Elephas maximus indicus: one gene and its partner. The protein of the gene in region 1 interacts with the protein of each later gene in a pairwise test. Links are inferred from orthologs where the notes say so. Each region holds a gene or a part of one and is shown on either strand. Other genes may lie near its edges. The genes, in order: ACOT8 and PEX5.

Evidence for each region.
Region 2: the proteins of ACOT8 (region 1) and PEX5 interact in binary tests that used the Homo sapiens proteins (3 or more experiments, as listed by UniProt). The link is inferred for Elephas maximus indicus from reciprocal best matches to the Homo sapiens genes ACOT8 and PEX5.

Annotation. Positions count from the first base shown.
Region 1 is NC_064843.1:23,392,576-23,408,380, forward strand, and holds ACOT8 (acyl-coenzyme A thioesterase 8), read left to right. Parts: upstream 1-7,209; 5' UTR 7,210-7,257; coding exon of another isoform or gene 7,258-7,313; coding exon 7,314-7,432; intron 7,433-8,617; coding exon 8,618-8,754; intron 8,755-12,081; coding exon 12,082-12,307; intron 12,308-14,686; coding exon 14,687-14,844; intron 14,845-15,360; coding exon 15,361-15,755; downstream 15,756-15,805. Other genes in the region: ZSWIM3 (zinc finger SWIM domain-containing protein 3), read right to left, coding at 6,655-6,809. UniProt on the Homo sapiens protein: Catalyzes the hydrolysis of acyl-CoAs into free fatty acids and coenzyme A (CoASH), regulating their respective intracellular levels. Displays no strong substrate specificity with respect to the carboxylic acid moiety of Acyl-CoAs.
Region 2 is NC_064822.1:64,039,516-64,056,056, reverse strand, and holds the start of PEX5 (peroxisomal biogenesis factor 5), read right to left. Parts: upstream 8,400-16,541; 5' UTR 8,294-8,399; intron 8,272-8,293; exon of another isoform or gene 8,199-8,271; intron 7,674-8,198; 5' UTR 7,658-7,673; coding exon 7,511-7,657; intron 7,197-7,510; coding exon 7,161-7,196; intron 6,666-7,160; coding exon 6,533-6,665; intron 6,335-6,532; coding exon 6,203-6,334; intron 1-6,202.

The DNA of each region.
Region 1 (15,805 bases):
GAAAGAAATCGAACGATGTATAGGGCAAACCTGCTGCAAAAGATCTCTTTAAAGTTTTAAAAAGCAAAGATGTCATTTTGATGACTAAGGTGCACCTGACCGAAGCCATGGTATTTTCAATTACCTCATATGCATGTAAAAGCTGGACAATTGAAAATGGAAGATTGAAGAATTGAGGCATTTGAATTGTATCAGCGACAAATATTGAATATACTGTGAACTGACAGAAGAACAAATAAATCCATTTTGGAGGAAGTACAGCCAGAATGCTCCTTAGAGGTAAAGATGACGAGACTTCAACTTGCTTATTTTGGACAACAAGAAAGACCAATGACTAGAAAAGGAAATCGTACTCGGTAAAGTAGAGGGTCAGAGAAAATGCGGTAAACCCTCTGTGAGATGAAATGACCTAGGAGTTGCAACGGATGGGCTCAAACATTCCAACAGTTGTAAGGATGGATGGTGCAGGAGCACGCAATGTTTTGTTCTATCATACATAAGTTTGGCATGAGGGAGAGACTAACAACAACAATTAAGTACCAAATACTTCTAGTTGCTCAGAAGGCTACCGAGACAAATTAGATAGTTCCTACTCTCAAAGTCTCATGAGCAGATTATTACACAGGTGGCCAATAAAGTCAAAATCAACTGAATGTTAAATAGAGGCACAAACAATATATTTATCACTGAAAACTAGGTGAGGCACTCTGACCGTAGAAATCGGTATGATTAACTAAGGCTCCCAATTAATTTTGTGTAAGATTTGTGCCCTTTTTTGTATGTAAATTGGGCCCTGACCAATGAGTAGGATTTTTATAGATGAAGAATAGGCAAAGCCCCCAAAAAACAGAATGAGACTAAAGGGACACACCAGCTCAGGGGCAAGGACTAGAAGGCAGGAGGGGACAGGAAAGCTGGTAATAGGGAACCCAAGGTCGAGAAGCGAGAGTATTGGCATGTCGTGGGGTTGGTAACCAACGTCACAAAACAATATGTGTACTAATTGTTTATTGAGAAGCTAGTTTGTTCTGTAAACCTTCATCTAAAGTACAATAAAAAAAGAATAGGCAAAGCCATCTTTGTTGTTAGTGCCATCAAGTTGATTTTCAACTCATTTCAACCCCATGTGACAGAGAACTGCCCCATAGGGTTTTCTAGACTATAATCTTTACAGGAACAGATAGCCAGGTCTTTCTCTCGTAGAGCTGCTGGGTGCGTTTGAACTGCCAACCTTTCAGTTAGCAGCCAAGTGCTTAACCGTTGTGCTGCCAGGGCGCCTTAAAGACATCTCAGACAATATAGTTTGAGTTAGGAACAAGACTCCGGAGTCAGGAGACCTTAGTTTCAATCCCAGTTCTACCACAGATTAGCTGTACGACCTTGGACAAGGCACTTCACTTCTTCTAAACCTCCATCTGCACAGTCAGGAATGTGGAAATACCAAAGGAACAGGTCCCTCTTGTTCTACGAATGATCAGTACCACTTAAAGGGAATCCATTTAAAAGGCTTTGGTAGATTCTGCTTGTTGCCAGCCCCACAGAACTTTGTCCCCTCCCTTCCTCCTTTCTAACAGAACTTCCATTTTATTCTGGTTGCCACCCCTCCACAGAGCTCTGTGCTTCAGGGTTAGTCTAAGCCAATTAAGGTAATCCCATTAGGAAGGGGCACGTATACTGGCTCAATTCTGGCCAAGAAAGGCAGTAGGAAGTCTTCAGGACACCAAGGAAAGCTTTTTCCTCTGGATGTGCCATGTGGGGAGCCACGCTGAAGGCACAGCTGAGAACTGTGGATGGCAGGGTGGGAGGATGGAAATAGCCTGGGCCTCGGAGACAGTCACCTGCAGAGGCCTACCTTTGGGTTTCTACATGGGAACTAATAAGCCAATTTGAGTAAGGTTTTCAGTTCCTTGTAGCCAAGGACATCCCTGGAAGCAACATTTCACAGTAAATAGTGGGAGAAAAAAGATTTGAGTGGAATTTCACCTTAAAAAATAAGACAAAAATTATGGAGTTAATATTATATTTAATAAAACGTAGATTATAATGACAACTATATGCTTATTCTTAGAATAATCAAAGAACAACTTGAGGTTGTACTGGCCTAAGCATAGATGAATAGGCAAAGAAAAAAAACAAAACAAAAACAAAAAGAACAACCTTAAGTGCCAACTTTTTTTCCCTGGTGTAATTTTTGCAAACACTATGGTACTTCATTTCCTGTCTCACTTTTGCAATATGCAGAGGTCAGTTTTACCCAAATATTCCAGGGCTGTATTAGGTTTCCCAAGGATCTATCTTCATTCTTTGCTATGCAAATCCTTTCCTTTTCAGGTTCCAATCCTATTATCATCCTTGTTGATTTCCCTTCTCATCTGTTAACCATGAGGCTAAGGGAGGAGCTCTGGTGGTACAGTGGTTAAGCGCTCAGTTGCTAACCGAAAGGTTGGCAGTTTGAACCCCCCAGCCACTCCACGGGAGAAAGATGTGGCAGTCTGTGGCACTCTGCTTCCAGAAAGATTTACAGCCTTGGAAACCCTACGGGGCAGTTCTACTCTATCCTAACACCTAAGTGTTTTCTTACGGTTTCTTGAAATCTTACCCTACTCCCTACTCTGACCTGCCCCCTCCTTTCTGCCCCTTCCCATTTTTCTTGGCTGTGACTGTACCAGATTCAGACTTCCCTGGCTCACACCCATGTGCTTTTTGGGGGTGAGGGTGCTTTTTGCCACAGGTTCTCATGATTTTCCTCTTCCATGCCTCGATTGCCTGGGGGCCTGCTCCCACCTACTCCTGGCCTCTATCTATCCGCTCTTCTGCCTGTGCTCACACATTTGGAACTCCGTGCAAAGCAGCCTTCCGAGTGTTATGTAAATGAGCTCAGTGCCGTAACCTAAAGCTGCTGCTGTCGAAGGCTGTGGAGTCAATTCCAACCCCCAGCAAGCCCATGTGACAGGGTAGAACTGCCCCATAGGGCTTCCTAGGCTGTAATCTATCCAGGAGCAGACGGCCAGGTCTTTTCTCCCAAAGAGCGCTGGTGGGTTTGAACCACTGACCTTTTGGTTGACAGCCGGAGCTTAACCGTTGTGCCACCAGGGCTCCTTGGACCTAAAGCAGAGAGGTAGAAATTATTAGTCCCTTTTTAACATTTGACTTCCCCTGGCTGTGTTTCCCCACCTGCAAAATAATAACGATAATAGCAGCTTACAATTATGGACTATTTCCTATGAACCAGGCACTCCTATAAGCACTCTACATGTATTAACTCACTTAATAGGCAAACAAAATAACAAGTCAGATAATGAAGGTGCGCGTGCTTTGTAAATGATCTCTGCAAAGTATCAGGGATGACAACATCACTTTTCTAATCAAGAACCTGAACTGGTATCAAGTTTCAACCGATACCTTCTTCCTCCACCACCACCACCACCACTCTCCCCTGGCCACCCAACCAGGTTGTTTCCCTGTCATTCCATCACCCAGCACCCTAGACTTCTCCTTTGCAGCCCTTACCACAATTTTAAGTAAATAATTACTTCTGTGGTGATAAGTTAGTATCTGTTCCCTGACCAGAAGGTAAGCTCCAGGAGGGCTGGAACCCACTTTATCTTTTTCAATACTGTCTCTCCAGACTCTAGCATGGAATCAGTGTTCAGTAAATAAATGCTGAAATCAATGAATTAAACCAGGGAACTTTGAGTAAGGATGCTTTGCACATACAAGTGGAAGAAGCCATACGGAATAATCTCCAAGATACACAGATACATGAGAAGAGCAAGGTGCAGAACCGCGTGTATTGATAGTACGCTCCCACTTGTGCTAAAATACATATGCACAAAGACAATACGGTTGTTCAGGCACCAGCGTCTCAGGAAGGTTAACAGTGGTTGTCTCTAGGTAATAATGCTGAAGGGACACTGACTTTTAGATTTTTTGGTACTGTTTGATTTTTTTTTTTAATTTAGTTACTATATTAACTATAACCAAAACAAATTAATTTTTAAAATTGTTCAACCTTCAAAGACAAAAATAAATGAAACTAATGTCAACCCTCCAGCCTATTTATCTGGGCCCATCCAATTCTTCCCCACTATTCTTCAGCATAAATCTTCCTTCTAGCTAAGTAGGTTTCCCCACAAGGGTCCTTAAAGTGGGAGAGGGAGACAGAAAAGGGGAGTCAGAGAAGGGGTTGTGAGGTCAGAGTGATATGATGTGAGGAGGGCTCCACCTGCCATTGCTGGCTTTGAAGACGGAGGAAGGGGACCATAAGCCAAGGAGGGCTAGGCGTCTGTAGAAGCTGGAAAAGGCAATGGAACCAATTCTCCTTGACACCTTGATTTTAGCCTAGTGAGACTTATGTCTGACTCCCAACCTACAGAATCTAAAAATAAGTTTGTGATGTTTTAAGCCATTAGTTCATGTAATTTGTTACAGCAGCAAAAAGAAAACTAACATACCCCCCAGTGCCCCCCTCTCCATCTTTAGGGGGTGCACCTCAGGTCTCCCTTTCTCTTACTTCTCCAGCCCAGTGATTACTCTCTCTTCCCAGTTCCTGCAGCACCTATTCCCCTGAAGCACACTTTTAGCACTTGATGATTCAGTCATTCAATATACAATGACTTGCTATGGGCCCAACCCAGAGCTAGACCCTGCGGACACAATGGTGAACCAAAGTTTCTCCCTGGAAAAGCACAGCCAATGGGGAAAACTCTGTAAACTGGATTACAAAGCAATATGCAAAGAGGTGTAACACTTGCTGCTGGAGCACAGCAGGAACATCAAACCTAATCTTGGGGAAGTTAAGAAAGACTTCCTGGAGGAAGTGCTGAGACCTAAAGAAAAATGAACAACTAGCTAAGACCGAGTTTCCCATAAGGGGTCCAAAATGACCTCAGATTGCTTAAGAACAGATATTTTCAGGATTATTTATAAATACATAACATTCATTTCACATGAATGCTCTGCATTTTACCTGGAATCCGTCAGTCTGATTCCAGAATGCACTTTTTTTTGGCCCTGGTGGCACAGTGGTTAAGCACTGAGGCTAGTAACCAAAACGTCAGCAGTTCGAATCCACCAGTTGCTCCTTGGAAACCCTACGGGGCAGTTCAACCCTGTCCTATAGGGTCGCTATGAGTTGAAATTGACTCAATAGCAAACGGGTTTATGCTGTTACTTCATATATATTATTTCCTAGGTTAGGTCTAAAATAGGTTACTTTGAATATTAAACCTGAGTGAATTTAAAGAAAAAAACGTTAAGTAAATTGTAGTACAGGACATGGCAAGAGCTGAGATGATGGCACACAGAATGACTGACATATGAGTTGCGTTTAAACCACCAACCTTTAGGTTAGTAGTCCAGAGCAAACCTTTTGCACCACCCAGGGACTTTGAGGCTCCTACTCTAGCCCTCTGTGTGTATTCACTGCCCAGAGAAACCATTACTTCCAGAGTGAAGCTTTTCCATACCTCCCAGGCATGTTACTTCTTCCTCTGCACAAGTCTCTTTTAAAGCATTATCACTTACAGGTTGGCTTATCTGAGTTCGAGTCTATTCCACTTTAAGCTCCTTCAGGGTCGGCTGGATTTTTTAATCATCTCTACGTCATCTGTACCCAACACAACAGTAGACTTCTGAGTAACAGAAAGAACACACATTGCCTGGCTCCCAAGCTGGGGAGCTCTGGCCAACTTCTCAAACCAGAGGTCTTAGACTGGTGGCCCTGAGATACACTATTTTTGACTCTCAGAGATGGCCCACATAGTGTAGCCCACAATTTGAACTAATTTCCATTTTTTTTAAAAAGTGGCCAAATCCACATAAAAGTCTGTTTCTCACTCCTCTCGCCCAAAATTCTGGCAACAATGAATCTTCATTTTTCACATGGCAGTAATCAGCTGGAGTCGATTAGATGGGATTTGCTCTCTAATTTGCCCCAGTTCACAGTTTTCTCTGTTGTCCCCATGGCGTTATTTCATCATTCTTATTCTTACAGTACAATAAAAAGTTATGTTACATTTTCTTACCCTGGGCTGTTTCACCTGAGCCCAAAAGGCATTTGAGTTTTCAACTCCTGTCTTAAATTCTTTAAGCCTGTTTTCTTATCTGTTAAATGAGAAGAATAACGTCTAATCCTTGATACAGCCCTGAGGGGTAAAGCACGCCCAGAGTACAGAACGCTGCCTGGGACATGCAAAGTGTTTGAAAAATGGTTGTTAATATTAGGAGCTCAAGAACCATTTACAGAATGAATGAATGCAACAATCACCAACTGACCTGTTACTGCTTTGTAAAGAATAAAACGCTAAGGCGTTTTTATCCATCTTTGAAGGCAGTATTTTGTGTCTGGAATACTGTAGGTGCTTCAAAAATAGGACAAACTGCAGTTATGAATTCCAGAAAAGCTTGTTCAAGAAAGGAATGAGTGAGTGACGGTGAAGTGGGTGGTCAAAAAGCAACGCCTAAAGAGGGTTTGCTCTATATCCACAAGGCACGCAGCAGGTGCTCAGCAGGTGCCTGCTGAATGAATGGCTGCGGAAGTCTGAGACAAGGGCCCAAGAGCATTCCCGCCTCCTCCTCCTCCTCCAGGCCGCCCTCCGGTGGGCCGGCCACCCTCCTCCCCATCCTCCTGCCCCGCCCCCGCCCCGCCCTTACAGGATGTCTTCGCGGATAGAGGTGCCATGGTGGAGGTTGTGGAAGCGGACGGAGACGCAGTCTCTGAGAATGAAGGAGCACCTGTTCTCCTTTTTGTAGGCGCTGAAGCATTCCTTGAAGTCCTCGTAGGTCTTGAAGCAGCTGCCCAGCTCCATGGCTGTCCCCTCAGCCCACAGCAGGGGCTGGTCCTAGCGTGGGCCCAGTATCACACCGGGGGTCAGAGGTCACTGTGAGGGTCTACAGGCTGGTCTAGGTCCAGGGCCCTTAGAGGTCGGTTCCACTTGAGTGCCTGTTATGGAGCTCAGGAGGATCCCAAGTCTGAGGGGTTTCTGGGGCGAGGGGCGTCTTTACTGCCTGACAGAGGGAAATTGACACTCAGTCCTTATTATTCAGCCCCGAGGCTCCGCCCCCTCAGTATCACACCCAATCACACACGGGACCCCAGAGTGGCACTTATTTTCTCCAATCATTAGAGAAATCCCGCCTCATCCACCAGAAGACGGATAGGAACATCAACAATCATAGTCGGATCCCGCCTTCTCACTGTCCCGCAGGGCACTTCCGGTTACGAGGGCAATTTGCCGGGGGCTTCCGGCTCTGGGTATGTCTCCAGTTCCCTCGCCCAGGGCAGTGACCGAGGCCAGCCGCCAGCTAGTAAGATGTCGTCCCCGCAGGCTCCGGAGGACGGGCAGGAAGGCCACGATCCCCCCAGGGACCTCCGCAGCGTCCTGGTCACCAGCGTGCTCAACCTTGAGCCGTTGGACGAAGATCTCTTCAGGTAGCCTGCAGCATCCGGCTCGCGCCCCCACTGGGACGGAGGCCCCTGGTCTCGGCAGCCGCCACCCATTGTCCCTCAGCTCCTGAACGAGGATGGGCTGTGCGGAGGCTGCAGGCTCTGCCGCGATCGAGAGAGGGCTTGGCCCTCACTGCGCTGTCCAGACTGCACTGGCTTCCTCCCTCCCATTCCATGCCCGGACTGCGCAGCGCTCTTGCGAACTGGGCAAATAAAGTGGTAACCTGTGATACGGCAGTCGGCCCTTGGGGTCCCTGGGGGAGTCAGCCCAGAGAGGGCAGTGATTTACCTAAGGGCACACAGCAAATCTAGTTTAAAACTTAAGTCCCCTGATTCGCAGCTTCTTGCATCTTTACTATCCTTTTAATTTTACATACTCCTTCCCCACTACTTGGTGGGATTTGGTAGCTCATTGCTGCTCATGCTGAGGTCTGAGCCTCTTTCCTTCCCAGTTCACTTAAGCTCTTGACCGCTTTGGCCTCCAGAGCTCCTACTGGCTTTATTGGAATCCATCTTTGGCTTTAACTTCCCTTCCGTCCACTTAACGACTTGTAAATCACTTCCTGGAGGGTTATTTGCAATACAGTGCTATGGAGAATACTAAATTGGGGCTGGGGCTCACATGCCAACTGGTCTTTTTTCACTTCGGGGGACCCAATTTCCTCATCTTTACACTTCCAGCTCTGAATCGGGTTCTAGAAAGAACTGGGCTGTTGTGGTTGAGGAATATAGGGGATAGACTCAGCCCTGGAGGTTCATCTTGGTCCACCCAAGATGCTTGTGTCTTACTCTGATATGGGGAGTAGAAGAAACACTGGACTTGGGGTCAAAAGACTCCAGAACTGTCCAGGATGTGCAATGTTTAAGCTTTGTGACCCTGCTCAAGTCATTTGAACTCTCTGATCGCCATTCTCTGAGTGTGAAATAAGTGAGTTAGATTGTTATCCTTAACTGAATCCACAGAAGGGCTCTGGGTGGTCATGAAGGCCATGAAGTTGTATGCAGAGTAATGTGTGAGGATATTTGCCTGGGAGAGGGCCCATGGCTTTCACCAGTTTTTCAAAGGGATCCCAAACCCCAATAAATTTAAGAGATCCTGCAGTAAAGGCTCTTTGAGAGCTGTAGGATTCAGCCCCTACCCAAGTCTCTCCCAATTTCCTCTTCCCACAGAGGAAGGCATTACTGGGTACCCACCACCCAGCGGCTGTTTGGGGGTCAGATCGTGGGTCAGGCCCTGGTAGCTGCAGCCAAGTCTGTGACTGAAGACGTCCACGTACACTCCCTGCACTGCTACTTTGTTCGGGCAGGTAAACCACCCCCTCCTTGCCCCCACCCAGTCCTGGGGACCCGGCAGCCACTTCTCCCTGGTCTTGGAGGGCTGACTGAGGAGAGAGGGAGAGAAGGGGGGCTTAGGAGCCATTTCCTCCTGGCTTTGGGGGGCTGACTGAGGGGAAAGGGGAAGCGAAGAACGGAGACAGAGAGTTCCAGTCGCAGGGGAGCCAAGAGAGAAACAAGGCCTGGGGCCGACAAAGAGCTTTGGACTTTACACTTACTGAGACCGTTAACTTGTTCTCTGGCTCTTGATGATGCAAGACTTGGTTCTTAGTTGTTTCCTGTTGGTGTGAGTATGGCGCTAGATCCTCACATCTGCTGTAACCTCTGTTAGGGGTTTGGGGGGCACAGCTGCCTGGCTTGGAGAAAAGAGCACCAGGCTGGGAATCAAAAGATCTTGGTTCTAGTTTCAGCCTTGCCAATAACTTGCCTTGTGACACTGAGTAGATGACCTCCCTCCCTGAGGCTTGGTTTGTGCCCTCTTTAGAGTGAAGTTAGTGGGGAGGAGAGGAAGGGTTGGTCCAGGGGCTTTTAGTTGGATGATCTCTATAGTTGCTTATAGCTCGGGGATCCGGTCAAGGAGCAAGGGGCAGTCTTTTAAAACCCACTCTCTGTTGAGAAACAAAAATCTCACTTGGTTTGCCTCCATACCCCTGACTTCTAAGGCAGGTGCCCACAATTTTAGACTTGTTGTCTTCTTCAGAGTCAAACCAGCTGGGAAGATTTTGTTTAACTTTATATTCTGTGATTTGTACTCAGAAAACAATAGGGGGGGGTTTTCTTTCATTTTAAAAATAAAAAATAGTTATAATAATAAATCTATTTTTTCACACCATATTACCATGCCCTTCACTCCCCCTTCCTTTATTGCCTGAGCCCCTTGACTGTGATTGTCATCGCTACTTACCAGCCCAGTTCTTACCTTTGTGCTAGTTGGGAGCACCTCTGGACTTTATTTCTTCAGTTTGGCTGTAAGCTTCCAAGATGCTGGCCTTTTGGTAGTGTAATCCTCCTAGCTCAGTGAGAGACCTGGCGGTTTTGTCTTGCCTTGTGGAAGTAGGGGCATTACTTGATCCCTCAGAATCTGATTCTTTATCCTGTGATGAAAGAATTATAACTCTTTGTAGTGAAAGCCTCTAGTGCAGTGCCTGGCACATTGCAGGTTTCCCATAAGTGATAATAATCATTTTTTATGATGAGTTTATGAGAATAATTAATATTTGCATGGCACAGAGGATGGCCAGGTACATTATCTTACTTAGTCCTCATAACATGAGGGTGGGCATTCCTGCCACCATTCAGTGTATAAGGAAATGGCAACCTAAAGAGATTTGTAACCAGCTCCTACAGCTGCTCAGGGAGGCAGAGCCACGATCTGAACCCAGGTTTGTGTGCCTCCAGCTCCACAGTCTTCTGCTACTTTCTCTTTTCACTTGTGAAGATCATTACAAATCCGTGTAGGGCTACCAGGGTACCTGTCTTAGGCTGGCTTCTCTAGAGAAGCAAAACCAGTGAAGTGTATATATCTATATATGTATATAGATAGAGATTTATCTCAAGAAAATGGCTCACACAGTTGTGGAGGCCGGCAGTTCTCAAATCCATGGGTCGGGCGTTGGGCTGGAAGGCTTCTTCTGACTCACATGGTTGCAGGGGCTGCGGAACCCAAGATCGTCAGGTCACATGGTAGGCTGCTGGCTCAAGTACCAAGAAGCAGAGGTCAGATGATGACGAGCTCGATGTAGGACCCAGAGCAAGGGAGACCTTTGCCAGTCATCCATGTATATTGAATGAAGGCTGTGCCCTCCAAGGAAACTCCCATCACGTCAGATAGTTGAGCAAGGGTGTGACTTGGGTCATACCTGCTTATAAGGATGTGACTCGTGATACACCCTACACTAATCCTGCCCTATTAGCACGTAGAGGTTAGGACTTTCAACACATAAAATGGAGGATAATTACATCAGGCCACAAAAAGGGAAGATAATTACAATCATGGCCTAGCCAAGTTGACATATAACATTAACCATCACAGTGCTCGTTCCAGGTTCTGGGGGAAGGATCTTCTTCCTTGCTACCATTTCAAAATAAATCACCAATTATTTGTTCCTTATCTCTTCCTGGAAAGGCTGCAAGACAGCTGAAGATAATTGATAGCTATCAAAGGACTATCAAAATAAAGGTCAAAGGACAACAGAGTAGTCCTAATAGGGAGCCTGGGGAAAATGACTTTACCAAAAAACTGGGCTAAGGCATATTGCTGTAGTTTCTCACAAAATTTAGTTCTCAGCTCCCTGGCAGCAAGGCAAAAAGGGAAGCTCTCAGTAGTTTGTGATGTGACCCTTTACCACATACCTCAAATATAACCAATGAAGATGTTTTAAATGATATATATATTTATAAAAGATGCTGAGGGTGGGTAATCTTTGTCATTTATATTATCAACTCTAAAAGCCCAAGGCAGAATGTCTTTTTTTTTTTTTTTAGGGAGGTAAAAGAATGTAGTACAGGAATGTAGCATGCTACAGGTTTAAACCCACTGCCGTTGAGTCAACAGGTTTAGAGCTGGGAAAATCTGGAGCAGGAGTCGGCAAGCTTTTTTCCTGTAATGGACCAGATAGTAAATATTTTAGGCTTTGCGGGTCTCTTTGTGACAACTCAACTCTGCTGTGTAGCTCGCGAAAACAGCCATAGACAATATGCAAACAAATGATTGTAACTGTGCTCCAAAGAAACTTTATTTACCAGAAAAGGTAGCAGACTGGATTTGGCCCACGGGCTATAGTTTGCTGACCCCTGATTTTAAAGAAATGATTCTGTAGTCATGACATGATCCCAGTCACAGACAGAACAAGATAAGAACTGAGAGAATTTATTTTATTTAACCAACACTTAGAGAGTACTAACTATGAAAAACTATGAGCCAGATATTATTCTAAACACTGTACAACTATGAGTTCATTTAATTCTCATAAAAATCCTGTGAGGTCTGAGCACTATGAGGGTCCTCATTTTACTGGAGTGAACTGCTCAGAGAGGTTAAGCGACTTTTCCAAGGTCACACATCTGGTGAGTGGCAGAGCCAGGGTTTGAATGCAGGAAATCTGGCCGAGTCCAAGTATTCTGTGCTGTTGACAGGAGGCACTCCACCTAGTGCTCTCTTTGTATCCCCAGTACCTGGTCTCAGTCCCTAGCTACTGAACAGAGAAAGGAATAGAGGACCAGTGGCAGAGGTGCCCACCTGGCCTTTGTGCTGTCTACAAAGCCTGTAGGGCTCACTGTGCCCCTTGTGCCCACTGCAGGAGACCCAAAGTTGCCAGTGCTATACCAGGTGGAACGGACGCGAACAGGGGCGAGCTTCTCGGTGCGCTCCGTGAGGGCCGTGCAACACGGCAAGCCCATCTTCATCTGCCAGGCCTCCTTCCAACAGATCCAGCCCAGTCCCCTGCAGCACCAGTTCTCCATGCCAGCTGTGCCCCCGCCAGAGGAGCTGCTCGACTATGAGACCCTCATTGACCAGTACTTAAGGTGAGAAGCCTGGAGGCTCCTGGGCAGTGCTTTCAAACAGCGGTTCTCAGTCATTAGTGGGTCATGAGATCCTTTCATGGGTCTTGACCAGCATTTTAGAAATATAGAATAGAAAAGAAGATATTGGAGTATATCGTACGTAGGAAGGGTAAGAATTCTTTGGTGACACTTGAGTTTCAGTTGTGTGTGTATTGGGTCATGATGTAAAATGCAGGGTTTATATTCAGCCAGTGCAGGCACTGTTACAGCTTTACTGGCTGTTAAAATATTGAAATACTTCTGTAACCACTTGGTAAATAGTCACCTCCTCAGGCCACTGCATGATCTCCTCTCCTTTCTCCTGGTCACCCATGATTCAGCAGCTTAGGAGTTAATGCCTGGCAGGGGTGGGTGTCCTCTAGAACCCTGCTGCGAAGCTATGGCCCAAATTTGCTCTGACTGGTCGCTGCCTTTGCCTTCCAAACCAAAACTCATTGCCTCGATTCTGAATCATAGTGACCCGATAGGACAGAGTAGAACTGCTCCATAGGGCTTCTAAGGCTGTAATCTTTATGCAAGCAGATTGCCACATCTTTCTCCCACTGAGCTGCTGGTGGGTTTGAATTGCCAGGCTTTTGGTTCTCAGCCAAGTGCTTAATTGTTGTGCCACCGGGGCTCCTTGCTTTAGATAATATCAACCAAAAACTCAACCCATTGGCCCTCTTGTCGATTCCGACTGATAGCGACCCTCTCGGACAGGGTAGGACTGCTCCATAGGGTTTCCAAGGCTGTGATCTTTATGGAAGCAGAATGCCACATCTTTCTCCCACAGAGTGGGTGGTAGGTTCAAACCACCAACCTTTTGGTTACCAGCCAAGCACTTTAATGGCTTTGCCACCAGCTCTTTGCCTTTGCCTTACTGGGTGTATCACCTGGTAGAATGTATTTCTCACTTGGATCACAGCCTATAAAGTTTGAAAAATGCTGGTGCAAGAGAAAGAGCACCAGGTCCAGACTCAGGACAGATGGTGTTTTCTGGCCGGCTGAGTTAGGGCATACCTGCTGTGGACTTGCCCAGTTCCCCAGCCTCTCTGATCCTAGTTTCTGCATCTAAGACATGGGAGTAGTCACTTCTGCCCTGCCTGCTTCACAGCTGAATCACAAGGACAGCTCCTCTGCCTTGTGCTGGATGCTGGGGAGGCAGCAGGGTAGATGGATGTGGGTTTAGGAGCCCAAAAGGCCTGTGTTCAAATTTAGACTGGTCCTTACTGGCTTTGTGAGCTTGGGCAAGTTGCTTTCCCTCTCTTAGCCTGTGCCCTCAGTTGTAAAATGGTGCTGATAATAATTACTACCTCCCAAGGCCGCTGTGAGGATTAAATGAGGTAAGGGAAATAAGGCACTTAGAGGGTACTCAGTAAATGGTAGTTATACCACTCTTGACAGGAATAAGTAGGGGGCCTTGTATGTAGTCAGTGCCCAACAAATGTTTGCTGAAATGAAATGAGGACTTTTGTTCTTTAGGGGCTCCGCTTATGGAGCTGTGCTGTCCAGTAAGGTAGCCACTAGCCACATGTGGCTGTATTAAATTAATTAAAAGAAGTAAAAATTCAGTTTGTTGGTTATACTAGCCACATTTCGAGAGCTTAAAAGCCACATGTGCTTGTGGCTACCATAGTGGACAGTGCAGGTATAGAGCATTCCATCACAGAAAGTTCTGTGGGACAGCACTCGTGAGGATAGGGATGAAAATGGCGGCACCCCGAGAAGCACTATGGGTGGTTGTTACTGTGGTGAAAGGGCTTCCTTGGAAACGGGCCCCTCCCTCTGGGGGAGAAGATTGTTCCCAGCTGCTTTAATGTTAGGTAACTCAGGCCAAGTTGCTGTTTCCTGACTGTGTAGAATGCTGACATGGTTAAGAGCATGAACTATGGAGCCAGATTGCCTGGGTCCAAATGCCCTCTCCACTTTCTGAGCAAGCTACGTGGCCTCTCTGTACTTATTTCATTTATCAAAAGGGGGTGATGACAGTGCCAGTTTCACAGGGTTGTTGGGAGGCGTGAGTTAATGTGAGACGTTTAGAACAGAATAGTGCCTCTCAAGTGTGCGTCTTACTGCTATAATGTGTTGTCTTCACCACGTTGTTATCAGCCAGGTTACTATGATTATCCACATTTTGCAGATGAGAAAATAGGCTCAGAGAGATCACTAACTGAGACAAAGCCATATGGCTCATATGTAGCAAAGAAGGAATTAAAAAACTACTATTGTGCCTGCCACAAGCAGAGGGGAGCTTTGGGGACAAGTCAGGAGTCCTGTGGAGGAAGGAGGGGGTCAGAAGAGGCAGCTCAGATGAGAAGTTCCGCTCTTCTTGCATCTCCCCACTCTCCCTTTTACTTTCAGGGACCCTAACCTCCACAAGAGGTACCGAGTGGGGCTGAACCGGATTGCTGCCCAGGAGGTGCCCATTGAGATCAGGGTCATAAACCCACCCACCCTGAGCCAGCTGCAGCGCCTGGAGCCCAAACAGATGTTCTGGGTGCGAGCCCGGGGCTATATTGGTAAGAGGACCCCATGGACTGGAGGAAAACTCTCTCCAGGGGTCTAGACCTGCAACTCATCACCCTGTGACCTTGGGCCTGGTACTTGCCCTCTCGGGTACTGTTTCCTTATTTGTGTGATGGGGAAGTTGGCCCAGTTTCTCACCAGGGCTGTCTTAGCCCTTTGCATGGGGAGAATGGGGAGGTGACTACAATCCCAATGTAGGCCCTTTCTGAAGAAGGCAGGGCACCTGAGGTTTTTCTCCTGGTCTGCTGCTAACTCTAAGGGTGCCTTTGTGCCAACTAGAAAAAGGCACCCCTTCCGGGGCCCGGGTGGGAGACTGGTGAGTGAAGACTGCATCTCCATCCTCACTCATCTCCCCCCTTATCTCCTGCCACACACACACCTTGGGCCAGGTACCCTTGTCAGTAAAGTCTGCATATCTGTGCATGGAGCCCCTTCCATCCCACCCCACTGCAGGTGCTGAGCCATAAAGCCCAGGAGCCCAGGGCTGATGGGGCTGGCACCTGTTGCAGGGGAGGGTGACATCAAGATGCACTGCTGTGTGGCTGCCTACATCTCGGACTATGCCTTCCTGGGCACAGCACTGCTGCCCCACGAGTGGCAGCATAAGGTGCACTTCATGGTCTCCTTGGACCACTCCATGTGGTTCCACACCCCCTTCCGAGCGGACCACTGGATGCTGTATGAGTGCGAGAGCCCCTGGGCTGGTGAGTGTGGGGCCACGTGGGGCGAGGGCACTGCCCCTGGGGTGGCAGGGAGCCTTGTTTCTCAGGTGATGCTGCCTCCCTTCCTGTGGGGCACTGCACAGGTCACTTCCTCCCCTGCCCTGTCCCAGGCTTTGGCATCCTTCAAAATGACAGGGTTAGGCTCAAGGATGAGACACCTTCTCAGCTCTAAATTTTTCTAACATGCTGGGAATGTCAAGGGACTGATTCACAGAGACCCAGTTCTAGTCCC
Region 2 (16,541 bases), on another chromosome or scaffold:
AAAAATATTACTAGAAAATCGACTTCCTTTAAATCTCCTAGATCTCCAATCATTCAATAAATACTCAAGACTTACTACACACAAAACAATATACTACTTCAATAAGACATTTTTATGAAGGCAGACCCCAAACAGCTCAACTTCTTTTTCCTGCTTCCTGTGTCCCTGCCTCTGTGTTGCAGGCACAGTGCCAAATGAACATAAAAAATAGAAGAGAGACCTTCCAAAGAGGATTTAACAAGTTAGACAGGTCCAACATCTTTTTCCACAGTTGATTTACATTTACAGGTTAAGGAAGATTTCACTGGTTGCAAGCAATTCAGGTATTTGTAACAAAAATCTCATCCATCTCAATGCACACATGTAGCAATGATTTTTTTCCTGAGTCATCAAAAAACGACTGATGCCCACATTACAACAGAAGCCTCTCTGTGGTAAGAGGCAGCACCTAAGTCTATGATGTGCGTGAAAAACTGAGAGTTTCTGTCTGGAGGAGCGTCTTTGCTATGGCTCTGGTTAACGTCAAGCAATTCTCCAGAGAAGACTCTGGAACCTAGAGTAAAACAGACATGAGTTTGAATATCATTTCTGTTACTAAATGATTTTGGACAAAGTATTTAGCCTTTCCAAATCTTAGTTTCCTCATCTATAAAATGGGAGAAATACCTTACAAGGTTAACTATGAACATAAAATGTGTTTAAGATTATAAAGTACTTAATATTATTAATGAAGCCAAGAGTACTTATTGTTCTACCTCAACTCCAACTTATGGTTGGGAAAAGGAGTCATGACAAAAGGGGCCAATAGCTTTTATTAAAGGTGAGCTTTAGTGGTTAGATTTTTGGGGCTTTTCTCTTTTATGTATGGAGAAAGCCCTATCTTTTAAAAGAATAAAAGTGATGTGACGAAAGGACAAATATTGTACGAGTGTACTTTTACAAGACAAAAATAGATATATATACAGAGACCAACACTCATTGGTGGTTATCAGGGATGGTTCAGGGGGAAGAAGAGGAAGCACTCTTGAGTTAGCAGATGCTTGTTATTTTTGGTGATGGGAAAGGCAGCATAGGATGTGGATGAAGTGCACACAGCTTCACCAAGGTAAATGATGTCACTAAGAAATGCACAAGAGATAAGGATGTTTTTGGTAAAGGATATGACAAATATAATTTTGCAACACCAATCAAAGAATGTGTATACTTACACAAGTATGTACGTAGGCATATGTGTATAGGTACAAATATGTAGGCACGTACGTGCACACAGACAGATATATCTACAGGCATATGTACATACAGGTATGTGTGTGCATGCAGGTATATCCATATATATAATAAAACACATAGGGGACACAGTTACAGATACTTCTTAAGAAAAACCAAACCCACTGCCGTCGAGTTGATTCTGACTCACAGCAACCCAAGATATAGAGCAAAACTGCCCCATAGGGTTTCCAAGGAGCACCTGGTGGATTTGAACTGCCGACTTTTTGGTTTGCAGCCATAGCTCTTAACCACTAAGCAACCAGGGTTTCCAGATACTTCTTAGACATAACCAAACACCTGGTTTTCTGGGTTTGAAGGCTTAGGACCATAGTCTCGTGTGACAACTCAGTTAACTGGCATAATATACCTCATAAAGTGTATGTTCTAATGAGCCCTGATGGTGCAGTAGTTAAGCACTCGGCCACTAACCCAAAGGTTGGCAGTTCAAACCCACCAGCTGCTCCACCGGAGAAAGATGTGGCAATCTGCTCCTCTAAAGATTACAGCCTTGGAAATCCTATGGGGCAATTCTATTCTTCCTACATGGTCACTATGAGTCAGAATTGACTTGACAGCAATAGTAAAGTATGTGTACTATATCCCAAAGTGATGATACAACTATTGGTCTCTACTTGTCCAGACAAAAGAGAAAGGAAACAAAGGCTCAGAGAAAAAAGTAGTGTACAGGACTAATAGTCTATGCAAACTACAGCCTCATCTACCCTGAGACCAGAAGAACTAGTTGGTGCCCAGCTACCACTACCAACCATTCTGATCACAGCCACAGTAGATGGATCCTGGCAGAGTGGGAGAATAATGTAGAACAGAACTCAAATTCTTAAAAAATTCCAGACTTACTGGACTGTTTGAGACTAGAGATTCCCCAAGACTACTGCCCTGAGATTAGCTTTAAACCTTAAACCGAAAATATCCGTTGAGGTCACCTTTTAACTAAATAACAGATTGGCTCATAAATAAAGATTATTACCATGAATAATGAGCTTCTTTAAAAAAAATCACCTATATAAGACCAAATGGTTAAAAATTACTAAAGCTATTATATAGCTACGATAGTCAAAACAGCCTGGTATTGGTATGACAGATAGATTGACCAATGGAACAGAAACTGAGAACGCATATGTAAATCCATCCACCTGCAGGGACCTGATCTTCAACAAAGGCCCAAAGTCCATTAAATGGGGAAAAGACAGTCTTTTTAACAAATGGTACTGGCAAAACTGGATGTTCATCTGTAAAAAAATGAAACAGGCCACAAACATCACACCATACACAAAAACTGTATCAAAATGGATCAAAGACCTAAATATAAAACCAAAAACTACAAGGACCATAGAAGAAAAAATAGGGTCAATGCTAGAGGCCCTAATACATGGCATAAATAAGATATGAACCATAACTAACAATACACAAACACCAGAAGATAAACTAGATAACTGGGATCTTCTAAAAATTAAACACTTATGCTCAACAAAAGAGTAAAAAGAGAACCTACAGACTGGGGAAAAAAAATGGCTATGACAAATCCAACAAAGGTCTAATCTTTAAAATCCATAGGAAAATCCAATACCTCTACAACAAAAAGACAATCCAATTAAAAAATGGACAAAGGATATGAACAGACACTTCACCAATGAACACATCCAGGCAGCTAACAGACACAAGAGGAAATGCTCGCGATCACTAGCCATTAGAGAAATGCAAATCAAAACTACAATGAGATACCGTTTCACCCCAACATTACTGGCACAAATCAAAAAATAACGAATGTTGGAGAGGGACCGGGGAGATTGGAACTCTTACGCACTGCTGATGGGAGTGTAAAATGGTACAACCATTTTGAAAAACGATATGGCACTTCCTTAAAAAGCTGGAAATAGAAATACCATTCAATTCATCAATCCCACTCCTAGGAATATATTCTAGAGAAATAAGAGCCATCATATGAATAGACATATGCACACCCATACTCATTGCTGCATTATTCACAATAGCAAAAAAATGGAAACAACCTAAGTGCCTATCAACAGATGAATGGATAAACAAACTATGGTACCTACACACAATGAAATACTAAGAAACGATAAAGAACAACGATGAATCTGTGAAATGCCTCACAACATGAATGAATCTGTAAGGCATTATGCTGAGTGAAATAAGTCAATTACGAAAAGACAAAAATACTGTATGAGACCACTATTATAAAAACTCATGTAAAGGTTTACACACAAAAACAATCTTTGATGGTTTTGAGGGAAGGGAGAGGCAGGGAGGGAATAACACTAACTACACAATAGATAAGTGGTAACTTTGGCGAAAGGTAAGATGATACACAATATCAGGGAAGTCAGCACAGCTCATGGAAGCTTCAGAGACACATCCAAACTCCCTGAGGGACTGAATTACTTGGGCTGAGGACTTGGGGACCATGGTTTCAGAGGACATCTAGCTCAACTGGCATAACACAGTTTATAAAGAAAATGTTCTACATCCTACTTTGGTGAGTAGTGTCTCGGGTCTTAAAAGCTTCTGAGCAACAATCTAAGATACGTCTTACTGGTCCCACTCTGTCTGGAGCAAAAGAGAAGGAAGAAAACCAAAGATACAACGGAAAGATTAGTCCAAACGACTAATGGACCACAGCTACCACAGCCTCCACCAGATTTAATCCAGCACAACTAGATGGCACTGACCGCTATGACAGGGATCACAATAGAGGGACCTAGACAGAGCTGGAGAAAAATGTAGAACAAAATTCTAACTCACACAAAAAAAACAGACTTACTAATCTGACAGAGACTGAGGAAACCGCAAAAGTATGGCCCCCAATACCCTTTTAACTCAATACTGAAGTCACTCCTGAGGTTCACCCTTCAAAGATTAGACAGGCTCGTAAGACAAAACAAGACTAAATGGGCATACCAGGCCAGGGGCAAGGACAAGAAGGCAGATGGACACAGGTAAGCTGGTAATGGGGAATCCAAGGTGGTGACAGGAAGTGTTGACACGTCATGGGGCTGGCAACCAATGTCACAAAATAATGTGCATAAATTGTTTAATTAGAAACTAATTTGCTCTGTAAACCTTCATCTAAAACACAATAAAATTAAATTTAAAATTTTTTTTTAAAAAAATTACTCCAAAGCAAAAATAAATGAGAAGGTAAGGGGGCAAGGAAAGCAAAAATAATGAGAAGGTAAGGGGGCAGGGAAACTAGAGTATTAGAAATGGTACAGATGGAATGGATGAGAATGATGACACATTGTGAAAAATGTGATCAACACCACTGAATAGTCTGTGTAGAAATTCTTAAATGGAACCTTATTTGCTGTGTAAACTTTCACCTTAAACACAATATTTTTTTTTTTTCTAAATGATATAGAAGACAAACTAATTAGGTCCTATTTATCATCTCAGAAAAATTCAGGAACTATGATGGTATAAGCTCCCTTAGAGTCTAGAATCGTTGTAACTTTCTCCACTTGTGCCTCTCATTCTCTTTTATTTCTTAAATTGGAAAAGGCTAATGGTGCTTCTCTTTGAAACCAATCAGGAAGAAAAAATTAGGTAGGTTTACAGACAGAAGGATCAATCCCAAGGCATGAAGTGCGCAATGGACAATCTCAAAGAGGAAAAAGTTAGCATGAGACAAGGGCTTCAAACTGGTTCTTCCAAGTTCAGTCATGGCCAAGGAGGTGACACCAGAACAGATCTGAATTTTTAAAATTTGGGTAACCCAGAACCACAACTAGAACAGGAAAAATTATGGGTCAAAACCTTACGTGAAACTTAATCTCCCTCTTAGAAAACAAGGGCAGTGTACATGTTGCATAGCAACCAAATGTCTTGCCCATAGGATTCTGTGCAGAGTCGGAAAGAGCTGTGCCCAGCTCAAAGATGGTGGTCAACTGCACCACTTTGTGTGTCACTCTCCTCAGTGCTGGTAATAATCCAACCTCAACTATCAGCCTCCCGAAAGGGCTCACCACACCTCTTCGAAGTCTCCCATTCCAGCTTCAACCCATAATTTTTCCCATTCCAGTTATGGTTCTGGATCATCCAAATTTTAAAAATTCAAGTCTATTCTGGTTTCACTTTGTCAGTCGTGACTGAACCGGTTCAAACCAGTTCAAAGCCCTGGCTGAGACCCTGAAGTCTGTGGCCAATCAAAAAAGAAGAGAATCATTCATCCCAGAGTCAAATCCCAACTCTACCGCTTACAAAGCTGGGCAATTTCCTTCACCTCTATGGTTCAGTTTCCTTATCTATAAACTGGAAATAAAACCAGTAAGGACCTCAAGAATTCTCATAGGGATTAAATACATAATGCATTTAAACAACTTGACACAAAGCCCTGAACAAAATATTAGCTATTAAGTTTTATTATTATCATCAAGGTATGGTCTTGGCTTTAAACTCCACAGCCCCACTCTCCAAGGCCCCAACTATATTCAAGATGACTTATTGCCAGAATCACAGAAGCTATTGGCAGATATTTTTCTCTTCCTGGGCAACACAGCCATCCACCCAATCTCTCTGGATCCTTTCTACCAAACTGTAGTAATAAAGTTCCAGATAACAAAGAGGTAGACCTAATTCTTCGTGGTACATATATATGTACGTACACACACACACACACACACACACACACACACACATTGGGGTTTGAACTATACGGATTTGGAAAAATCTCTTACCCAGTTCAAACTCAGTCCTCTGCTTAATATAAATTTCGACTCCCTACTATCACCTAAGGGAAATCATGCTAAATGCCCTACATAAAAATATGTCAAGAGGCCAGAAAAATAATAAACAGCTGAAATCACCCTGTACCCTTAAATGAATTAGGGGAGCAGTATAGAACTTTCATTGCCTCCACTGAAACCATTACAGATTTTCCAATAAGGAGTCTCACCTGTAACTTCAGAGATAAATTCTTGGGACCAGTCAGTCTCATTATAATCCTGAGTTACATCCACAGCATCTCCAGCTGCAAGAAACTCCTGGGCCCAGTTCTCAGACAAGGCCAAGTCTGCCACACCAGGGGCTAAAAACAGAAAAAAGAAATACTTATTATTTCTTTTATGCCTAGTAAGTAACCCTGAATGCACATGAAAACACTATGCTCCTTTTGTTTCCTTCTATATCCAGTTCCACAATGTCATCAGCATTCAAATTTGGAACCCCCTTGGCCCCGCCTACACAGAAAATGGTGACCTCCCCTCCCACCAGACTCTGAACCCACCTCTCTGGGGAGCCTGGCGGAAGCTGGACTGTTCAATCTCCTGCATCTCCGCCAGGAGGTCATCCATCTTGAAGGTCTGAGGGGCACGGGATACAAGTGATGCATTCTGGTCATGCAGGAATTCAGCCACCAGCTGTCAGAAAAGATAGTGAAATGAACCCACGGGGTCAGGGAAGTCCCAGCAAGAGACAGGGTCCACTGGATGAGAGATACTGATGTCAGATACAATGAAAGGATAATATAGAAACTGGAGACAATTAGAGAGAGAAACTTAACTCTCCATAGATTTGGAAACAAATAATACATAAAAAAAAAAAAAAAAACAAGCAGGAGAGCTAAAGCAAATCTCATTTGTTCAGGGAAGACCAAAGATTGAAATATGGGTGAGGCAAGTTTAAAAATAAAAGCACAATGTTGTTGTTAGTTGCTGTTAAGTCAATGCCCATTAACGGCGGCCCCATGTGTGCAGAGTAGAACTGCTGCAGAAAGTTTTCAAGGCTGTGACCTTTGGAAGCAGATCAACAGGACAGTCTTCCAAGGCACCTCTGGGTGAGTTCAAACTATCAACCCACTGGCTAGCAGTCGAGTGCTTAACAGTTTACAGTGGAAATGACACTGATATATTTACCTCATCTTCAGAGGATACTCCCAAAGGCTTAGAGACCTAAGACAGAACACAAAGGAAGGCAATACGGTACAGTGGCGAAATCAGTTGAACATGAGTTAAAATTCCAGCTCTACTACTGACTAGTTACATGACTTGAACAAGTCACATAACTTCTCTGGGCCTCAGTTTCTTTATGTATAAAATTGTTTACTTCGTCTATATAATAATGCACAGTGCTTAGTATAATGTTGAGTAAACACTCATTAAAAAGATGGTAACTATTATTTGCAGCACAATAAAGAAAGCAATTAGTTATCCAAGGTGTACACCTGGACGTTCCATCCCAGCCACCACTTGGGCTTTCCACTCACCGCCTCTGGAGGTGGGGCTCCTGGAGGCCAGGGGCCAGGCTTCAAGCCCTCCTGTCGCAGGGCCTTGTCCTGGGTGAAGTGCCCAGCCAGTTTCATGAGTGGGTTGGCACCCCCGCATTCTGCCTCCACCAGCTCCCGCATTGCCATGGTGACCGCCAGCTCTCTGATGGGCAGAGGTTTGGAACTGAGGTTCTGAAGACAGACCCTTCTCCAACCCCCAACTCAGCTCGCATATTGGGGAGGCTAGCAAACATCGGCCCCTCACGGGTCAGGCCCCTGGTCACTGGCTACTCTTCACCCCTGTGCCTTTTACTGTGGCCCACACCTCTGCCTGACCTCCAAGGGGTGCCGGGACCCTCCCGCCGCCCCCTCAAAGGCCACAGCCTTCAGCCTGGGCCTCTTCGGCAGCCTCCACGTCTGTGGTCTCGACCGGCTGAACCCGGCCAGCACCCGCCCCCTACGGAGTGGCCTGGACACCAGAGGGCCACAGGGGCCGCTTCTCCAACCGCGCTGGACTGGGACACTGGGCGGACACGAGAAGGGAGTAACAACGCCTGACCGTAAGCCCTGTCCCCGACACCCCCCGGTAGTCTGCTGAACACCACGGGGGGCCACCCCCTCCCCCAGGTCACCTGGGCCCCTCCCTCTGCTCGACCCGCTCCCGGCCCACCCCTCCCGCGCTCCCCACCACTCCATCTGCTCTGGCCCTGCCCCACGAGGACACAGCAAGGGCGGGGAAGACGGGGAACTCGTCCCCGCGCCCCCTCGGGACCCTTTGCTTACCGCCGCGCACCGCGCCGCAAGAGCTGCCGGGGCACCCGGACTGGCGGGGGAGGGGAAGGTAGAGAAGGGGGAGCCAGGGGGCGGGGCTCAGGCTTAAAGGGGCCGTGACCGCCGCGCTGCGGTCGCGGCTCGGCGGAAGCTGTTTGAAGGGGCGGGGCCTTAAGGATGCGACGCCGCGTAATGGGAAGAGCGGTGAATCTTAAAGGGGAAGGGCTCCTTAAAAGAAAAATCTTGGAGCGTGTGCTCTTGGAAGCGCTTGAAAGGGTCGCTGACGCTCAGATTTATTTGATGGAAGGGTCAAGGAAGAATGGAGCTGAGGGGCTTCCCGGACTTTGGGGAAAAAGCCGAGGGCCCAGGTTGCTGGGCTCAGCTCATCCTTGCTCTTCCTGGGACTCATTGTGACCCAATGTCATCCCCTGCCCTTCCTAGGCCTCAGTTTACCCCTCTAAAACGGCCAGTCTTCCCAAGCCCCAAAGCGGGTAGAAGAAAAACCCTAATGCTGAGACTCGGGGACAGGAGGAAGTTAGTCAAGTCGGGGACCTTTTCCAGCCTCCCAGGTCTGCCTCTCTTCCAAAGTCCCCATAAAGGGATAGCGTCACAGTCTCCATGGAGACAGAGGCCTGCAGCCAATCCCTTTTCCACCTCTGCGTATTGGGGAAAATAGCACTGAATGATGACAAAGTCCAGAGACTAAAATAGGGTCCAACACATCCTGAGACTTAAAGCTGATAACATACAAGGTAGGTGTACAGTGAGTCACTTCTCCCCCACTCCCCTCCCTCACCTGTGGTTAAGGTCACTGTGGTGGCCTTATTCCCACTCCTTCCGGCTGATGCAAAAAATGCAGAACATGACTTTAAGCCTCAGGCCCCACCATCTGCCAGGGAATTGGCTCAGCTTTCAAACCTCAAGGTCACTGGGAAACAAACCCTGGTCTCTGACCTGGCTCCAAGACCAAGGGAGTCCTGGTGTCATGTAGAAGGGCAGGAGGGGCTCAGGGCTGCTGGTAGATGAGAAAGGGTATGGTAGACTCAGCCAAACAGAAGTATCATCCCAGCCCAGGGTGCACTCGAAGAGGCAGACAGACAGCAGGTGAAGCCCTAGGTGAGTCCTGTTACCTGGCTGTTGGTAAAGATTTCGATGGTGGAGGCCCCAGGGAACCAAAGAGACTTGGCTCTGTAAACTCAACCCTGGGAAGGCAGAGAAGCTGTTCTTAGACACCTCAGGGAAACAGAATGACAGGACAAACCTGAAGACTGTCGAAAATTTCTCCTTTTCTTTGCATTTTCACCCACTTTCAGAGGCCCTAATCCACTACCTCTTTTCCCCTGGAATACACAAATCCTGACCCTTGAGTGTCCACTGTTCTCAGGCTGCCGTTGTAAAGAATATACCTTAAAACATGCCGTTGAGTAGATTTTGACTCGTAGCAACCCTATAGGACAGTACAATTGCCCCATGGGGTTTTCAAGGAGCAGCTGGTAGATTACAACTGCCGACCTTTCGGTTAGCAGCTGAGCTCTTAACCAGCGCGCCACCAGGTAAATATCTAGTACTAATGAATTAAACCATACCAAGGAGGAACAGGTGCCCTCTAGAAAGTGCATACTTCCAAAAGAGAGAATCCCTGGACAGGGCACTTTTGCCCTGGGTGGTATAAATGGTTTGCACTCAGCTACAGACCTACGTATTGCTGGTTTGAACCTGCCCTGAGGAACCACAGAAGAAAGGCCTCGCTATCTGCTTCCGTAAGGATTACAGCCGAGAAAACCCTGTGGAGCATTTCTACTCTGTAACACATGGGGTCACCATGAGTCAGAATTCACTCCACAGCAATGGATTTAGTTTTAGGTTTTTGGAGAAGGCAACGTTCAACTGGAAGCATATGATATGGTAGACTTTCAGGACATTAAGGCATTAAGGGTTTCCCAGTAACACTCCAACCATACCACACACATTACTTTCTGCTCTGCTAGAAGCAATAACTCACTATGTGCCCACTCTTGGGAGAATGGTAATAATGACAACTGGTGCTTATTGAGTGCTTACTCAAATCCAGGTACTGCACTAAATGTTTTATGAGCATTAGCACTTTTGATTTTCATAACATGTTTATGAAATAGGTGTTACTAACCCCATTTTACAGATAAGACTTGTCCCCAAATCACACAACTAAGATGTCAGAATTCAATCCAGGCATAACTCCAGGTATCTATCTATCCATTACACAGCAAGGCCTCCTAGTCTTAAAGAAGCCTGGTTTGTAAGCCGTAGAATCCTTCACAGAACCTGGTCCACAAGTCCAAGAGGGTGTCTAGGGTTGGCAGAGAACTAATAGAGTTACGTGGGTATTTAATTAATATTTAGTTTATTGAAGTTCTGGATTTAAAATCCTAAATTTTGTTAATCCAGATTCAGCTATACATTCTTATTCTATTTATAAGAGTAGTAACATATAAAATAAAATAATCACTTTTACTTTCTCTTTAATTAATATTCAGTTAATTCAATTTTAACAGATTAAATTCCTTCAAACAATTTTTAAACACTTACATTGTGTTTACAATGTGCCAGGCACTATTCTAAGTACTTTTCAAGTATTAATTCATTTAATCCTCATATGAACTATATAGCAACTACTATTCCCATTTTACAGACAGGAAACTGAGGCGCAGAGAAGTGACTTGCCCAAAGTTATACCACTTATAAATAGCAAAGTTGGGACTTGAACCTAGACCAAGGTCAATAAACTTTGTTTGTAAAAGGTCAAATAGTTAATATTGTACGATTTGCAGGCCATATGGTCTCTGTCACAGCTACTCAACTCTGCCATTGTAGCATGAAAGCAGCCATAGACAATACGTAAATGAATGAGTGTGGCTGTGTTCCAATAAAACTTTATTTATAGGCACTGAAATTTGAATTTCATATAACGTCACAAAATATTTTTCTTTTGATTTTTTTTTTCCAACCAGTTAAAAATGTCAAAACTATTCTTAGATTGCAGACCATACAGAAAACAGATGGCAGGCTATAGTTTGCCAACCCCTAACACAGACGGTCTAGTTCCAGAGTCCGTACTTCTAACTACTTTGCTATACTTTGTTTTTAAAAAATCAAAGTCCCTTAAATATTTTGAACTCCTTGGGTACTTTCTATATATATATATATATATATATATATATATATATATATATATATATATATATATATATATATATATATGTATATACACATATATATATATGTATGTATATATATATATGTTAAAGCATTATATATGCCTGACAGAGCTAACAACCTTCTTTCTAACCTCTTTTTCTTTCTAACCTCTTATTCAACCCTTGTACATTTATAAAATCCTCTTAGTCCTTTTAACTTAAAATCACAAGTCTAAAATCAATTTTACCTCTCAGATTGAAGGCCTATCATCAGATTCTCTTAAACATCAGACATTTTAACTCAAAGTCATTATACACCTGAGCAAATTTACTGGCTCAGGTAGTTCAAGGCTACTGGGTTAAATTTGGAACCACAGTACAGGCACTTAGAGGTCAGAGAGTTAAGGCCAGGACACTAGACATAGGAACTGTATGGTCCCAAAATGATGCTATCTGAACCACAAGTGAACACCCTCAGTTGTGTCTCAGAGAAGAGTTCTGTCTGCTGTGTCATGAATCCCTAAAGCCGTTCCCCTCAACTGATAATGGTGTCCAACTCTTCAGTTACAACTTTACCTAGTTTTTATCATCAGATTAAGGTAGTTGAAAAGCTGTATCCCCACATCAGGTGCAACCAACTTCTTTCACAACTTCAGCTGAGCAACAAATCTCTGCTCCCTAGGTGTTGAATTTCACATTCCATGTTGTTGGAGGTGGGGGTTGGGAAATGGGGACGACCGTCTGGTTTGATTCTTTAGTTTTTTAATGACACAACGCACAGAGTAAGGGAAGTTTCCTTCCTCTGGATATTGCACGTCAAGCTACAGTCTTCACACATGTACATTTGAAAGGGTTTGTTGGTTATGATTATTCATCTGTCCTGTCAGCCTCAGTAGTTACCGTTGGCAGAGACACTTTGACAAAGGAAGAAAGCTGCATGTATGGTGAAATGCAGCAAATCCCAAAACTGGACCCATCTGTGTATACCTGGGCAAATCCCAATTGGCTTTAAAAGTGTTCAGAGTAGTGATATCTAGATATAATCAGCTATGTCCGGCATAACCCATCTACATTTGAGTACAAAATACCTAACCATTCTATAGCTACACAGCAGGGGATTTGCCTAACCAAAAGCAGGACTGTGTTACAGACACCCCTTACCCATGCTTGTAGCAGAATCTTACCACCTCTAGAAATCCAGGGAATTTTCACAATATGTCACCCTTGCCAAAATCCAGTTGGGAACCCATTGATCCCTTACTCCCACCACCCCCAAAGAATGGAAGGGAAGAAGGAAAAAAAGAAAAACAAAATAAGGTTTTTTATTTGGAGAATTTCTTCAAATGAGTGGTTTTACTCTCTTTTCAGTATTTTTCAACCAAATATCTACAGCATACACAGATAAATAATGTGTTTCAGTTTTTGCTTGTTTTGTTAGTTTGACAGGGGAAATTCACTTCCAGGAAGATGAAGTAGACATGCTTTTCTCTTTTTCTCCCACTGAGTACAACTAAAAACCGTAGACGCGATATATAAAACAAACATAAGAAGACTCTGAAAGATGGAGAAAAGAAGGCAGACCAGCTAAGGACCTCAGGACCCAAGGAACAACACAGCAGTGAGTAATCTAGGTTTTCTTTTTGCCTCATATATCCCAGACTGGGTGCTAGAGAAGCCGGCAACACAGCAACACCAATGGGTGCAGACAAAAAGAGCTCTAACAAAGACCTGCTCTCTCTAGGACGGGGGAAGGGGCAGCCTACCAAGACAGAAACTTTTAGACAGTAACTACTCTGCTCCAACTAAACATGAAAGAAAAAACTATGGCCCCACCAACACCAGTGAAGGCTGAGTAGGAAACAGAGACTTCTCTCCTTATGAGGCTATAAGGAAGCACCCCAATTCCCCCACTAGGGTGGTACCAAAGAAGCCCAAATAGGGAGCCAGAACTTTTATCTCCACAGGCCACAGCTCCGTCTCTCCCCTGAGATGTAAGTGGAGACCACGTGGGGAGCCAGGACACTCCCAGCCCACATAGCAGTAATGAGGAGTCCCCTTCCTACTCATGTATTAATGGTGGCCAAATGAGGAACCTCGATTTCTACTTCCATCTGGCAGTAACCAGATGGTGGTACCAGAAGAGTGATTTCCTTCTTCCCTTCTTGGAGTGGTGTCAAAGAAAGCCAATTAAAACAGAAGGTTTAAATAAAATCCAAAGTCTCACAACAAAACATAAAAACGTCCAGGTTTTAATCCAAAATCACTCATCCTGCCAAGAACCAGGAAGATTACAAACTGAATAATAAAAGACAATAGATGCCACACCAAGATGGCAGAAATGTTAGAATTATCGGAAAAGATTGTAAGGCAGCCATGATTTAAAAAATGCTTCAGTGAGCAACTATGAACACACTCGAGACAAATGAAAAAAATAGAAAGCCTTAGAAAAGAAATAGATGATATAAAGAAATTCCAAATAGAAATTTTAGAACTGAAAAATACAATAATTAAAATAAAAGTCTCAGTAGGTAGGCTCAACAGTAGAATGGAGGGGACAGAGAAAAGAATCAATGAACTGGAAGACAGAACAATAGAAATTACTCAATATCTGAACGACAGAGAGAAAATAAACCAAAAAATGAACATGGCCTCAGGGGAACCATTCACCTGATGACTCTTCTGCTCATGGGTTTTATCCCACATCAAGTGATCCTGCTAGCGTTTGCTCTGAGGACTTTGCAAGACAGAATGTAAGCTCCATAAGGGCAGGGACTTCAGCTTTCTCAGTGCTAGATCTCCAGGCCCTAGAATTGTGCCTGACATATAGTTACCCTATTGACATCAAGTCGATTCCGACTCCCAGTGGCCCAATAGGACAGAGTAGAACTGCCCCGTAGGGTTTCCAAGTGGTGGCTGGTAGATTCAAACTGCTGACCTTTTGGATAGCAGCTGTAGCTCTCAATCACTGTGCCACACATAGCAGATAGTCAAAAAATATCTGTGGAAGAAATTATTGTTACTATTAGATTTTGAGTGGCGATAATCATACTCTGAGCTCAGAGAAATAAAGCACAGAAGACAGAATTAAAGGTCTACGGTATAATGAGTTTCTCTTGTATCTGGCCTTGGGTTGATAATTCTACCAAAAATAGTTGGTTGGGCCACAGCCTGCCTTGTGATTGGTCTATTTGGTGCACCTTGCAGAGACTGGTCAGTCTACTATGCAAATAGGGTAGGTAAAACTACCCAATAGGATTAAGTGACCTTGCAGGGAATTGGTCTATTAATATGCAAATTAAGTGACTGTGGCCTACCAAGGGGATTGAGCAGTTCATCGACATGGTGGGAGGACCATGCCCTGAAATTGACAAGGAGTAGGCTTACATAAGGACAAATCCTGCAGAGGTTAAGCGGAACCTCACTACCACCAAGAAGAGATTGGAGTGGAACACATCCTTTGGACACAGGGTCCCTGTGCTGAGAACCTCCTAGACGCAGAAGAGAAAGAGAGCTGTAACACTGAAGACAGCAAGAAATAGTGGCAACTACAGCAGAGCCCAGCAGCAGAGAAATGGCTGCAGCAGTATAAGTGGCAGGAACCCGGCCATCAGGGCAAGGCAGCTGCAGTGGGCTTGCTGACCCACAGAGCAAGAGAGAGGTAAGCACCTTCAGGCAGGAAGGTGGAGTGAAGTGCCTCCAGGCACTTGTTGGCAGAGCTAAAGAGCTGTAACACTTGCCCAAGCAGGACGGAGGCCAAGAGAAGACCTGGTGGCAGGTGTGGCCAAAAGAAGGCCTAGCAGTGGTATGGCCGAGAGAAGGGCTGCCTGCCTGTGGTCACAGCCGAGAAGCTGAGAGCTGTTTTGGTTAAAAGTTGCCCTGAATGAAGAACTGTATCCCGTTGAATCCAACTCATAGGGACCCTACAAGATAGAGTAGAACTGCCGCATAAGGCTTCCAAGGCTGTAATCCTTGCAGAAGCACACTGCCACATCTTTATCCCAAGGAGCATCTGGTAGGTTTGAACTACCAACCTTTCGCTTAACAGCCAAGCACTTAACCACTGCGCCAACAGGGCTCTGTGACAACAGAATACAAGATCAAATTTCAGATGTATTATTGTTAAAGCTGATTGGAGAATATCATTTTAGATTTGTTGAGTAACGGGCTTATTAATACAATCCCACTTCCAAGTATAGACCTTGGATCAGCTTACCTAAGGGATTGTTGGGGGCTGTAGAGCAAACATTCATCCATAATTATTGCAATCACACCCTGAAGCTGAGACGGGAAGAGGTTCTTGCACTTATTATAGATTAGTTTGACCCTATCTAAAAACATGGATCAATGGATGTTAGACCCTCACCACATACCAAATAACTCTTCCATGCCATGAAGAGAGTCAGGAGTGTCAAGTCCCCTCATGATAAAATGAGGACAAGCATTTCCAGATTATTTTCTTAATCCATTGACCTTAAAACTTGTTGCCATCAAGTCGACTCCAACTCACAGCTACCCTATAGGACAGAGTATAACTGCCCTATATGGTTTCCAGGGACCACCTGGTGGATTCGAACCGCCAACCTTTTCGTTAGCAGCCATAGCTCTTAACCACTAGCCACCAGGGTTTCCCCACTGGCCTTAGGTAACCATTAAACTTGTAATCAGCCAAGGATGTGACTATTCCTGTAAAGACAGACCTGCTCCCTATCATGAGACTGTTCCCCAATAATATCCATTGCTCCTTTGTGAATCAGATTGGAACATGGGTTTTTTCATAGATTTTTTCTCCCAGGAGTCTCAAAAATAGGTAAAGACTTTAGCTCAGTCAAATTAATTCCAAAGCCACTCTGCCCAAGACTGACATTCTATTTCATAGTTTATTCCTCACCCAACATACACCTAGCCTCATTACTGGTTATCTCTCAAGAGAAGTTATGCAGTAAGATCAAATGAAAGGATAACAATACTCCAAAAGTAGAATGACAGCCATTAAAAAAAAAGAAGTGCTTCAAATTCCTATAACCAGCAAAAGGACTAGTGGTGAGCATTGAATATGTTGTTGTTAGTCGTCTAGTCAATTCAGACTC